Linked DNA regions of Caenorhabditis elegans. The protein of the gene in region 1 purifies or fractionates together with the protein of each later gene. This does not show direct contact. Each region holds a gene or a part of one and is shown in the gene's direction. Other genes may lie near its edges.

The links. Proteins that work in one complex are often made in the same cells at the same time.
Region 2: the proteins of ucr-1 (region 1) and atp-5 fractionate together in Caenorhabditis elegans (co-fractionation; one large-scale study listed by BioGRID). This does not show direct contact.
Region 3: the proteins of ucr-1 (region 1) and F58F12.1 fractionate together in Caenorhabditis elegans (co-fractionation; one large-scale study listed by BioGRID). This does not show direct contact.

Annotation. Positions count from the first base shown.
Region 1 is NC_003281.10:5,590,360-5,595,175, forward strand, and holds ucr-1 (Cytochrome b-c1 complex subunit 1, mitochondrial), read left to right. Parts: upstream 1-1,798; coding exon 1,799-1,852; intron 1,853-1,994; coding exon 1,995-2,120; intron 2,121-2,169; coding exon 2,170-2,386; intron 2,387-2,435; coding exon 2,436-2,635; intron 2,636-2,679; coding exon 2,680-2,922; intron 2,923-2,971; coding exon 2,972-3,029; intron 3,030-3,080; coding exon 3,081-3,198; intron 3,199-3,250; coding exon 3,251-3,461; intron 3,462-3,511; coding exon 3,512-3,641; intron 3,642-3,707; coding exon 3,708-3,772; 3' UTR 3,773-3,966; downstream 3,967-4,816. Other genes in the region: Pre-mRNA-splicing factor ATP-dependent RNA helicase ddx-15, read right to left, coding at 1-1,092, 1,140-1,236, 1,292-1,347.
Region 2 is NC_003283.11:11,122,398-11,125,766, reverse strand, and holds atp-5 (ATP synthase subunit d, mitochondrial), read left to right. Parts: upstream 1-1,899; 5' UTR 1,900-1,901; coding exon 1,902-1,956; intron 1,957-2,043; coding exon 2,044-2,354; intron 2,355-2,399; coding exon 2,400-2,573; intron 2,574-2,617; coding exon 2,618-2,653; 3' UTR 2,654-2,866; downstream 2,867-3,369. Other genes in the region: strt-7 (Phosphatidylcholine transfer protein), read right to left, coding at 366-418, 465-503; lmtr-3 (Late endosomal/lysosomal adaptor and MAPK and MTOR activator 5), read right to left, coding at 909-1,153, 1,201-1,293, 1,358-1,457; mboa-2 (O-acyltransferase), read left to right, coding at 3,293-3,313, 3,359-3,369.
Region 3 is NC_003280.10:6,381,644-6,385,195, forward strand, and holds F58F12.1 (ATP synthase subunit delta, mitochondrial), read left to right. Parts: upstream 1-2,001; 5' UTR 2,002-2,009; coding exon 2,010-2,129; intron 2,130-2,175; coding exon 2,176-2,308; intron 2,309-2,355; coding exon 2,356-2,552; intron 2,553-2,772; coding exon 2,773-2,814; 3' UTR 2,815-3,049; downstream 3,050-3,552. UniProt on the Caenorhabditis elegans protein: Mitochondrial membrane ATP synthase (F(1)F(0) ATP synthase or Complex V) produces ATP from ADP in the presence of a proton gradient across the membrane which is generated by electron transport complexes of the respiratory chain.

The DNA of each region.
Region 1 (4,816 bases):
TCCAGCTCTTTGCATAGCAGAAGCTTTCGAAATGGGACAAACAAGCAGCGACTCGACACGAATTCTTGGATTGTACACTTTTTGCTTCGAGAATCCAGGATCGATAACAAAGACAACGCCATCAATAGTCAATGATGTCTCAGCGATATTTGTAGAGATGACACACTTTCTGCTGATTGCTCCATTCGGTCGATTTGGTGGTGCTGGTTCGAAGATTCTCTGCTGTGCTGCTGGGGGAAGTGTAGAGTACAACGGAATGCAGCTGAGTGCTCCAGCATCTGCTCCCAAGGCTTGAATCTCACGATCTATTCTTTTGCAAGCTTCTTCGATCTCTTCTTGACCAGTGAGGAACAGTAAAATGTCACCTTCAACCTCCTCGACCATATGAATTTGGATTACAGTTCTGATCGCGGCTTCTAGATAATCTTTCTCCGCATTTGGAGTGAAGAAGATCTCAACAGGGAATGTTCTTCCGGGAACACTGAGCAACGGGCAATCCTCGAAATATCTTTGAAACTTTCCTGCATCCAATGTAGCGGACATGATTACGACCTTGATATCAGCTCGATTTCTCACGATTTCCTTGATCAGTCCCATAAGAATATCTGTGGCGAGTGTTCTTTCGTGAGCCTCGTCGAGAATAAGGACTTTGTACTTATCGAGGAGCGGGCTGTTCATTGCTTCTCGCAGCAACATACCGTCTGTACAGTATTTGAGAACAGTTCGTTCGCTGATGCAGTCTTCGAAACGAATACTGTATCCCACTTCTTGTCCCAAAACTACGTCCATTTCCTCAGCAACTCTTGTCGCAACGCTCATCGCAGCGACCCGTCTAGGCTGTGTGCAAGCCACCAATCTCGCTTGACCGGGTGGTTGTCCTTGTTGCTGCTGCTTCATGAACTCGACGGCCCACTGTGGGATTTGCGTGGTCTTTCCGGATCCCGTTTCTCCGACAAGAGTGATGCACTGGTTGTTCCGGAGCAGCTCCATAAACTTTTCCTTATATTCCCATACTGGCAATTGACTTCTTTTCTCCCAAATTGCCCAATATCGGTTACTAAATGGCTGGTTGTTGTATGGATTGATTTGGATCTGTAAATTTGGAGATGAGAAACAAAAATTCGTTTACTAAAAAATACCTTCATATTTCCAACTGCCCCAATCTGTCTTTTCCGGTCGGGGGAGGAGCGTCTGTGTGGCGATCGGGAGCGGGATCGGGATCTGCGGTTAGGAGATCTGAAAATAAATTATTATTATTATATTGAACTGGGGAAGCAACAATTTTACTTACCTTCTTCTGTCTCCGCGTCCGCTGCCATCTAAATCCAATCGGTGTCTCGAAGACATCGCAAGTTTCTCCTTCAATAGGAAAATTAGAGTTTCAAGTGGCTTTATAAAGCGTTATACGAAAATATTAGGTATTTCGAAAAGCTACGCGCAGGATAAATGGATTAAATGTATGACAAATTAAGAAAACTAGTTGAAAAAGGAGAAAATCAGCAAATATAGAGATATTGGGAACAAAAGACAGAATTTCGCAGAATATATTCGGAATAAGTATGGAGCGATTTACGGGTGCGCCTTTAAACTTTCGGTGGGTCTCGAAGCGATTCCGCTGTCTGCGTCTCTGCACTGCTGGGCGGCTTGATGGTTTTAGTTGTTTTCAGCTTCTTTTCGAGTTTCAGATATATTTTTTCAAGTTTTTCAATTTAAAATAATGTTCTCTGAATTTTTATCTATCGATTAATATCCTATTTATATATTTTTATTTTCAGAGAACAGGGGAAAACTTGAGAGAATGGCTCTCAGACTCGCCGTCAGCTCTGCTTTGCGTCCGGCTCTCAATAGCCAGGTAATTTTCTTGTGAGATTGCTAAAAGAGAAATAAAAACTCTTAATTGAAAATAAAATTGAAAGTTGTATGCCCACAGGTCGCATGGAGAACGTAACAACGATGATAATGTAGAAAATCTAATTAAATTAATTAATTTTCAGGTTCGCAATGCTTCATCAGCTGTCTCCGTGAAGGACGTGCTTGCCAGCGCTCCACAAGCTGAAGTTACCACCTTGAAGAATGGCTTCCGTGTTGTCACCGAAGATAATGGATCCGCCACCGCTACCGTAATTTTGCCCACTAGTTTTCTAAAATTTCTTTTGTTTTAAATTGTAGGTGGGAGTCTGGATCGAGACCGGATCTCGTTTTGAGAACGAGAAGAACAACGGTGTCGCACATTTCCTCGAGCGATTGATCCACAAGGGAACTGGAAAGAGAGCATCTGCTGCTCTCGAATCCGAGCTTAATGCTATCGGAGCAAAACTCAACTCGTTCACTGAGCGTGACCAAACCGCAGTTTTTGTCCAAGCTGGAGCTCAAGATGTTGAGAAAGGTAAATATTTGTAACTTATAAAATTGTGTTAATTTTCCAAAATTTTCAGTTGTCGATATCCTCGCCGATGTTCTCCGCAACAGCAAGCTTGAGGCCTCAACCATCGATACCGAAAGAGTTAATCTTCTCAAAGAGCTCGAAGCTTCCGATGACTATCATCAGCTTGTCCTCTTCGATATGCTCCACGCTGCCGGATTCCAAGGCACCCCACTCGCTCTCAGCGTTCTCGGAACCAGTGAGAGCATTCCAGTAAGTATTTATTTGGGTTTACATAAAGTTGATTATTTTTTCAGAATATCTCTGCTCAACAATTGAAGGAGTGGCAAGAGGATCATTACAGACCAGTGCGCATGGTTCTGTCCGCTGTCGGAGGAGGAGTTTCCAATGTTTCAAGCCTCGCCGATAAATATTTCGGAGACTTGAGCAACGAATACCCACGAAAGGTTCCACAGGTCGATGGAACACGATTCACCGGATCTGAATACAGATACCGCAACGATAATGTCCCACACATGTATGCTGCTTTCGCTGTTGAGGTACAAATAATAAATGTGTGTTCAGTCTTTCATTTTACTTCATTTTTAGGGTGTTGGATATGCCCACAAAGATGCTCTCGCTCTTCAAATTGCCAATCAATTCATTGGTAAGTTGGCTTTTGTGTGAATTTTTCAATTCAAACCGTAATTTTGATGAGTTTTAGGCCAATGGGATGTGACCCACGCTACATCCAGAACAGCTGCTTCCAGACTTGTCCAAAAAATCGGACACGACCACGGAGTCCATAACCTCCAGCATTTCAACATCAACTACAAGTAAGTATCTTTTTTTGCAAGCTTATTTAAATTTTTATTTTCTTTTTTTCAGAGACACTGGATTGTTCGGAATCTACTTTGTTGCTGATGCTCACGACTTGAACGACACCAGCGGAATCATGAAGTCTGTTGCTCACGAATGGAAGCATTTGGCCTCTGCTGCCACAGAAGAAGAAGTCGCCATGGCCAAGAACCAATTCAGAACCAACTTGTACCAGAACCTCGAGACCAACACACAAAAGGCTGGATTTAACGCTAAGGAGGTTTGTTACTCTGCAGAAAATGCTATGGATAGTTATTTCATTATTTTCAGCTTCTTTACACCGGAAATCTCAGACAGTTGTCAGAACTTGAAGCTCAAATTCAAAAGGTTGACGCTGGAGCTGTCCGCGAGGCTATTTCAAGACATGTGTACGATCGTGATCTTGCTGCTGTCGGAGTTGGTGAGTAGTTTTCCACTTGCTGTTGTTTTTACATTATGAGAATTGCAAACAATTTCTCTTTTCTAGGTCGCACAGAAGCCTTCCCCAACTACGCCCTTACTCGCGCTGGTATGTCGTGGTGGAGAATGTAAGCAGTGAACGATGACGTCTTCCTCATCTCGGATTCCCTATGTACTTTTCGCTGTTCGTTCACCGTCTCTCTCTCTCTCTATCTGTTGTCAGATACACTTTTTTAGAAAACTTTTTGCTGTTCATTTATTTTCTTTTTCCAAAAATTAATTTTAATTTAGAGTAGCGTTATTTGTTTGTACGGTTCGGAGTAAAATGAATGAATTGACGAATTGTGCCAGAAAATGTATATCTGCTCGATTATTTTCTGCAGAATTATAATATCTGAATGATTTCCTGATGAGATTGTCTGCCCATCAAATCAGCGCCCTCAATTTTCCCCCGATGCAAAAAAAAAAACACAACAAGACCACTCCCAATTGGACGGAAAGATATCTGCGTCTCCGACCGATCCATTGCATCTCTTGTCCACCGGTTGACTGGCCTTGACCACGTTCGCACACTTATTGTCAGCCTCACCCGAGGCTATCCGCTTACTGAACCCCACTTTACGCGAAACTTTCTGTATATAGGTGACTGGCGTTAAATAATAATAGCATCGTTCCATTTTACAGCTAATTTCTTACCTGAAAGTTTTCGAATCTTGAAAAAAAAACTAACTGTCATTTCAAGTAGTAATTAGTAATTCTTTATTTCAATAAAAATCAGCGAAAATGATCCAAAGTCTAGAATTTTAACAGGAAACAGTAAAATTGTAGAATACTGAATTCCCACTTCTCCTCGAGAAGTACACGAGCTGCGTAAATCGACACATGGTCGTGTTATTGGTTCACGAGTGTGCGCCTTTAAAAAGTACTGTAGTTTCACCTTTGTTTTTTCAACTTTTGTTGCTGTCAGTTTTTCACGATTTTTCGATGAAAACATACTTCCTGATTGATCAACTTAAATTTAAATTAAAAAAAAAACTTCCCGAAAAACCATTAAAATTAAATGAAAATTCCGGAACAACAAAAGTTTGAAACTACAGTACTCTTTAAAGGAGCACACCTTCTCGTATTTAGCACAAATTTGTCGTGTCGAGAACATTTATCGAATTATTGGTCCAA
Region 2 (3,369 bases), on another chromosome or scaffold:
TTTTGGCAAAAAATGGTTTTTATTTTGGTTGTTTTAAAAAATTTTAATTTTTTAGACATGTTTGAAGCGAAAAAAAAAGTTTTATTTTTGGTTTTTATTTTTTTTATTGAAAAAATTGAATTTTCGAATTTTGGACTAAAATCTACGCTTTTTTTTCATATTTTACAAATCTTCTTAAGCAAAATATGTTTTAATGGTTTTCAATGATTTTTTCTAAAAGTTCAAAATAAATCGAAAATCGACTTTTTTTGGGTTTTATGGTCACAAATTCCAATTTGTAGTTCTTGGTCCAAAATCAAAATCTGTTTTTTTGTTTTTTGGTAAGACTTTTTTGGTCCTACTTCACTCCATAATAGTTGACTTACGCTTTCGTCTTGAATCGTGACCAATTTTGACGGAAGTTTCGATACAGTGCAACCTAAACGTATTATAATTGAACACACTTCAATCAAAATATTGTTTACCTGTTTAAACAAAAAACTGCTCCAATTTCTGTTCAGCATATCTTTGTTTGATAAGACTTACTTTATTGCATTCGAGTAAATCTAAAAGAAATGATTGAAAAATGATTTTGATCAGTACGGTCAGTGAAAAAAAAACGATCAGAGTGATTGATCTATGCTATAGTCAGTTCACGTTAGAGATGTATAAAATAGATAGTTTTTGGCAGAAACCAACGAGAAAACAGGCATGTTCTGTAACCACGGATCTTTCAATTTAATTTTATTCTTGATGAGAATCAATAGAAAACTGGGAAGGTTTTTACAGGAAATACGGTTATTGGGTATGATAATTTGAAAACAAGAAAAGTTAGATTGGTTTTTTAAGATTGGCATGAACTTGAAAAGCTGAGTAAAGATATCGAATCATGGAATCACAGGAAAATGAGAGCAGCCACCACATAATTATTAGTCGAAATCTGGGGGAGGTGCAGCTGCAGAAGGGTACGATGGTGGTGGTAAAAGAGCATCTCCATCAATTGGTGGGCAAAGTGACATCATATGACTGCCGATGGGAAATAATTTCTCACGCAAAGAGAGCATGGCGCCAGTGTTCGTGTTGGTTCCAGCGTGAACAATGAAATAATACTTGTCAATAGAATGAACAGCAATTTGGTGGGACTCGTACAATGCAAAGGTTGTTTGATGACCTCCTAAAACATAACTGAGTAGAAATAAAAATGAGAAGTCAATAACTAACCCATGTCGAGTTTGTGAATTTGAGGGATTGTTGTCACGTGACTGACAATCAGCTGTTGCCTGAATCTAGAATTATCCAATGTCGATGGAAGACCTGAAAAATGGTTATATTTTTAAAGTTTATATTAATTATTGGTTTTATTGATGAAAATACTTACCGATATTCAGAATGAGACCTCCATCGTGATCAGTGATGAAGATTGCGCAGACCCCCTCATAGGTAAGCATAAGCTCTTCGAGCTCTTGTTGGACGTTCATCATTTTACTGAAACAATGTCTTTTTTGTTTTTTTTTTTAACTACAGATACCACTAAAATAATCAGCAACATAAGGAAAATTCTTGAATTGATAAAATAAGAGTAAAAATCTGAAATCGGTTTTGGTGGCCGAGTTTTGTCCCGAGGGCCGATAAAAATGGCCGAGGAACCCGAGAAAACCGCGCCGCACTTTGCGTTTTCACGGGCGATAGACTCCACCCTTTTGAACAGAAAATACTATTTTTTGTGCTTTTCAGCTGTTTTAGCTTATTTTTCAGTTCATTCCGTTACTTAAAAATTGAAAACAACTCAAAATAGTTATTCTATGTTTCTTTGTTTGTGAACGATTCAATTTTCCTGCTAATTAAGCATATTTACTTTTTATTTTCAAAAATCGTTTTCCTGTTAATCTAAATAAGGTTAAAACATCACAATTTTTATAGGTATGTCTGGAGCCGCTAAGAGGGTAGCGACGTCTTCCGTGAACTGGTCGAAGCTCGGTAAGTTGTTTAAGTCACAAGTTACGGTATTTTACGTATGTAATAAATAACTTCTCCACAATTTAGTGTTTTAACTTTTAATTTCAGCCGAGCGTTTGGTCCCGGAACACGCCGCAGAACTCACCCGCGTGAAGGGAGTCAGTGGAACTTTCCAATCCGCTGTCAGCCAGCTCCCGGCCGATCTTCCCAAGATCGACTTTGCTGCTTTGAAGAAGGCCCTCCCGGCTCATTCGGCAGTTCTCGATTCTCTTCAAAAGCAGTATGAATCTGTAAAGATCCCATACGGAGAGGTTCCAGCCGAGTATTTGAAGGAAGTAGACCAATGGGTTGATTACAACAACGCCCGTATTAAGCTTCATGAGGTCAAGGTCGCTGATGGACTTCAGGAGGCCAAGAAGGTTATTACTTTTATTTCGAAAAGATTTTTAATATTCTTTTTCCAGGTGGAGGAAAAGTGGGCCAAGGCTCCACCAGTTGAACATTTCGATCGTCAGCATTTCGTCGAGTATTTCCCAGCTCATTTCTATGATCTTCGCTACCAGAACAGAATTCCTGATCCATGCAACATCGGACTCAACGAGACTCCAGAAATTGAGAACAGATTCAAGGACTACAAGGTGGAGAAATTTACCAAATTATAGTCATATTTATTAATTTTCAGGTTCTTCGACGTGCCGACAAGGTTGACGACCATTAAACGATTTATCATGATGTACCGTTCAGTAGACAACTCTCGTTCTTCCTTATCGCTCTCCTACCATTTTTAAGACCATTTTGATTTGTTTTGTAGCCGTTTGTTTTATAATTTCGTCGAATTTTTTTATGTGCCTGGGAGCTTATGCAGTCGATACCCCCTTCTTCAGATTATGTATTTCATAAGAGTGATGGCAAGATAAAGAACTTTCGCATGTTTCCTTTATATTATATGAGAATTTCTTTGCAATTCGCGCGAAAAGAATCTGTTGGCATCATTGATTACCTTCGATGATCGGATTGAAGATATCAAAACAAGTTTTTTCTTTTCATGTTAAAACCAACTAATGAAGTTGAACGAATATTTCCATAGTTTCAATTAATGTCAGTGTATTATGTACATTGAATTCGGATTCCATGTAAAGATCAAGAATTGGCGTGAAGTGCACTATTGTTCTAAATAAGTGATAGATCACATTTAATCAAGAGGCGCCAGACGCGTTGTCTCTTATCTTGATTCGATAAATATGAAACAAACAGACGGAGGCACGACAGGCCTGACTTGTTATTCTTTTCCGAAATTTTTTTGCAGTTTCTTGATTCTTCTACATTTAAGAATTTCAGGGTTACCTAAGTATTTCTGATGCAAATGCGTCAACAAACGGTTAGTTTTATTATTTTCTAAAGTTTTTTTAAAAACTAAATTCAGGGACGACGGCG
Region 3 (3,552 bases), on another chromosome or scaffold:
TATTTTGTTTCATGTTCAATTGTACATTTATTTTGATTTTTGTGATAATTTTGAATCTCGAGTGAATTTATTTTTAATATGTTTTAAGTTTGTATACAATATACAAGAATTGAGTTATTAAAATACAATAATTACAAAACTAACCATGATATGGCTAAAAGAAATCAGCTGGGACAAGCTTGATTCACAGAAATTTGTAGGCTTTTTACAGTTAGAAAACTCAAAACTTCCGGCAGATCCTGAAATAAAATACAACTCTTGAGTTTACTGAAAACGTAACATTTACAGTTACAGTACCACAGAAAGGCTGATAATTTTTCACCCTAATCAGCAATTTAGGTGAAATTTATTACAAGTGGAATGCTTACAATAGTATTGAGAAAATTTTTTACCTACCTAAAGGTTGCGTCTCTCTCTCCGAAACTTGTAGAAGAATGGCTGCTCACTCCAAACCGGAATTATCTGTTGTTTTGGATGCATAGTTTTTAAAAGGCAGGTCTTAAAAATCCAATCCCTAACTTCTCTGCATGCACAAACTTTAAAAGTAGCTACAGTAATATTTTCACATGATAACCTGCATTAGGAGTGTTAACCCTAACCACAAACTTTATCATTGACTATGTGTCTAGTTACAATGACCAAACAACTGTGTGTGTTTCTTTAATAGGATTCTAATAGAATGTTAAATATCTAATGGCGAATTCGTGATTTCAGGTGAATTTATTTAGTTCCGGACACAAGCCTAAACAGAAAGTTCACAAAAGTTAGTCATGATGATCTTTTATCTTCAGTTGCAAACTTTTTCTCCACGGTTTCATGATTTTGAAGCTTCTTTTTATTTTAGAGATATCAAAATGTTGTCGATCTACTTACTCACTGCACAAAAAGGTTATTATGTAGTTTAAAATAAATTTTCGTTGGGCAGAATGAGGGATGATATATTATTACTGTTTCCCGGTATCCACTTGATGAGCATGCGACCTCTCTGTCCAGAAGCCAAACTTTCAATAACATCTACAGTATGTACTGTATTTTGCAATCACTTATAAAAACTGAAAACTGAGAAGAACCATAAATCATACATTTCCCGCATGTTTCTACTCAATTGATAACCGGATTATCACATTTCTTTACTATTACTATGAAATGACACGCAGTTGCAACAAACTTCAAATATTTGATAAGTTTCAGTCAATTCAGCAGAAAACGCACCAACACACATGTTCTGCTTCAGGTGAAGGAAACACGTAAAAAGTCACGTGGCTTATTCAAATGTTCAAATGAGTCGTATTTTGCAAAGTGTATCGAAATGCTACGCAATGTAGTGAATAATATAGTAAGTTAAGTGAAACCTACAAATCATGTATACAATTTTCAAAAATTTCCATATATTCTTCCCTGCGTACAATTCGAGAAAGGAGCAATCTACTTTAATGGTTAAGATTTTTTCAATCAGTAGCTTCAATAGTGTACTCTATTGCTGTTTAGATACGTCTTCAAATAAAGTTTATTTAAAAAATATGTTTTCTCTATTGTAATAGTTCTATAATTTCAAAAATTATTCCAATTAGCTACATTTCAATAAATATCAAAAATTCTACGCTTCTTAGTTGAAAATCTCCAATTACATTCGCTGTTTCATATTTAACATACGTTTCATTAAATCTTCAGGCATTTTTTAACCTTCGCCAAGATGGCCTAGTTTTTCCCGATGGCCGCGGACTAGCCATTAGGGGATGCAAACACGCTCCGTTGGACGACGGGCGATCTCGATTTTTATTCACCTTTTTTTAACAAAAAATCTCTGTTTTCAACTGTTTTGGGAAGTTTTTTCAGTTAATTTTCGTTATTAAAAATTGAAAAAAGTATTCGACTATATGTCTACGATTTTTACTATTGTTTGTTCCCCAAATACAATCTATTCCTCCGATTTTTTCATTTATAATTCTTAATACACATATTGACCTTCTAAAAATCAATCAAACAATGTTATCATTTCAGAGGGTAAGATGTTGGCTCGTACTATCCAAAGATTCTCGGTTGTTGCCAAGCGCGGATACGCCGCTGCCGCTCCAGCTGCCAACGCCAACCCAGAGGAGCTTCGTCTCACTTTCGCCTCCCCAGACACCGTGAGTAAATATTATTTGAAAACATTATTTGAAAATCAATTTACAGGCTGTCTTCAGCAATGCTGTCGTCAAGCAGGTTGATGTGCCAACTTTGGCCGGTATGGTTGGTGTTCTTGCCAATCACGTCCCAACCATTGGAGTTTTGAAACCAGGAGTTGTCTCTGTCACCACAAATGAAGGTTTATTTTGCAAAAATAAATTGTATTATCACCAAAGAATTTTTCAGGAACAGTTCAACGCCTTTTCGTCTCTTCGGGAACCCTCTCCGTGAACATCGATGGATCATGCCAAGTTCTTGCTGAGGAGGTCCTGAAAGTTGAAGAAATTGATGAGTCTGCTGCCCGCGCCGAGCTTGATGCTGCCCAAAGAGCCTCCGGAGAAGGAAGCGAGGTTGCTCGTGCTGAAGCTCAAATTCGCGCTGAAGTAAGTGTTCGAAAAAGTTTTAAAAACCAAAAAAAAATACAAGAAACGAATATCGTTTGGTTTCAGCAAAGTTAAGCATTTCGTAATATTTTTATTATCAAAATGATTCTGTGCTTCGATACTAAAACTGAGACCAGGACATAAAGTTGAGGGTCATAAAAGTAGTTCTCTGAAATGAATATGTCTTTAAGTTTTGTTTCAAAACAAGGGAATTTTTCAGGTTGCTGAAGCATTGATCAAGGCCGCCACGAACCAGCAATAAGGAGTATGTTGAGAGTAGACCCTTTAACTTTGGTAAATTCCTTTTTAATTTGATCCTAGGCACATCGTCAATTTCTCTCGATGCTGCTTATAGGATATTATGTACGGCCCTCCCTTTTTTTGTTTTCATTGTTCCATCGTTTCCAATAAATTTCGAGACTTTTAGTTTTTGACTTTTATTTTTCCAATTTTCTGATTTAGTGATATTTATAGTAGAAATGAACATTCGATCCTTCATCCAAGTAATTATATCAAACAAGAGAAAATTCTGAAAATGTATGTAAACTGGAATACCAATTCCATGAGTTTAAAACAATTACAATCTACAGCAATACGTACCCTAAAATGAAATAGAATTAGTATTTCCTTATGTTTACCAAAAAACGGAAACCTCGGGTTCGATTCAATTCATGCGCTAATCGAAAATGGTTGTTCAAAAAGCGAAATTGAACGAAAAAAATCGTAAGTGATGATGCCATTCAGAAGAATCTGCAACATTTGAAGAGGAAACCCAAGGAGGATTCGGCTTTTTCAAAGTGATGAAAGTTGAGATACAAATTGGAATTGTCTTTTTTATCGACAAACCCACTTTAAATGCCATTTACAGACACGATGGGAGGATAGACAACAAACTTCAAAAATCATATGAACACTTTTCTGAATCAAAATAATTATTCACCAATTTTCCACCATTTTTAGTAAATAGCTAATATTAGTTTGAATATCAAACTTCTTTTAT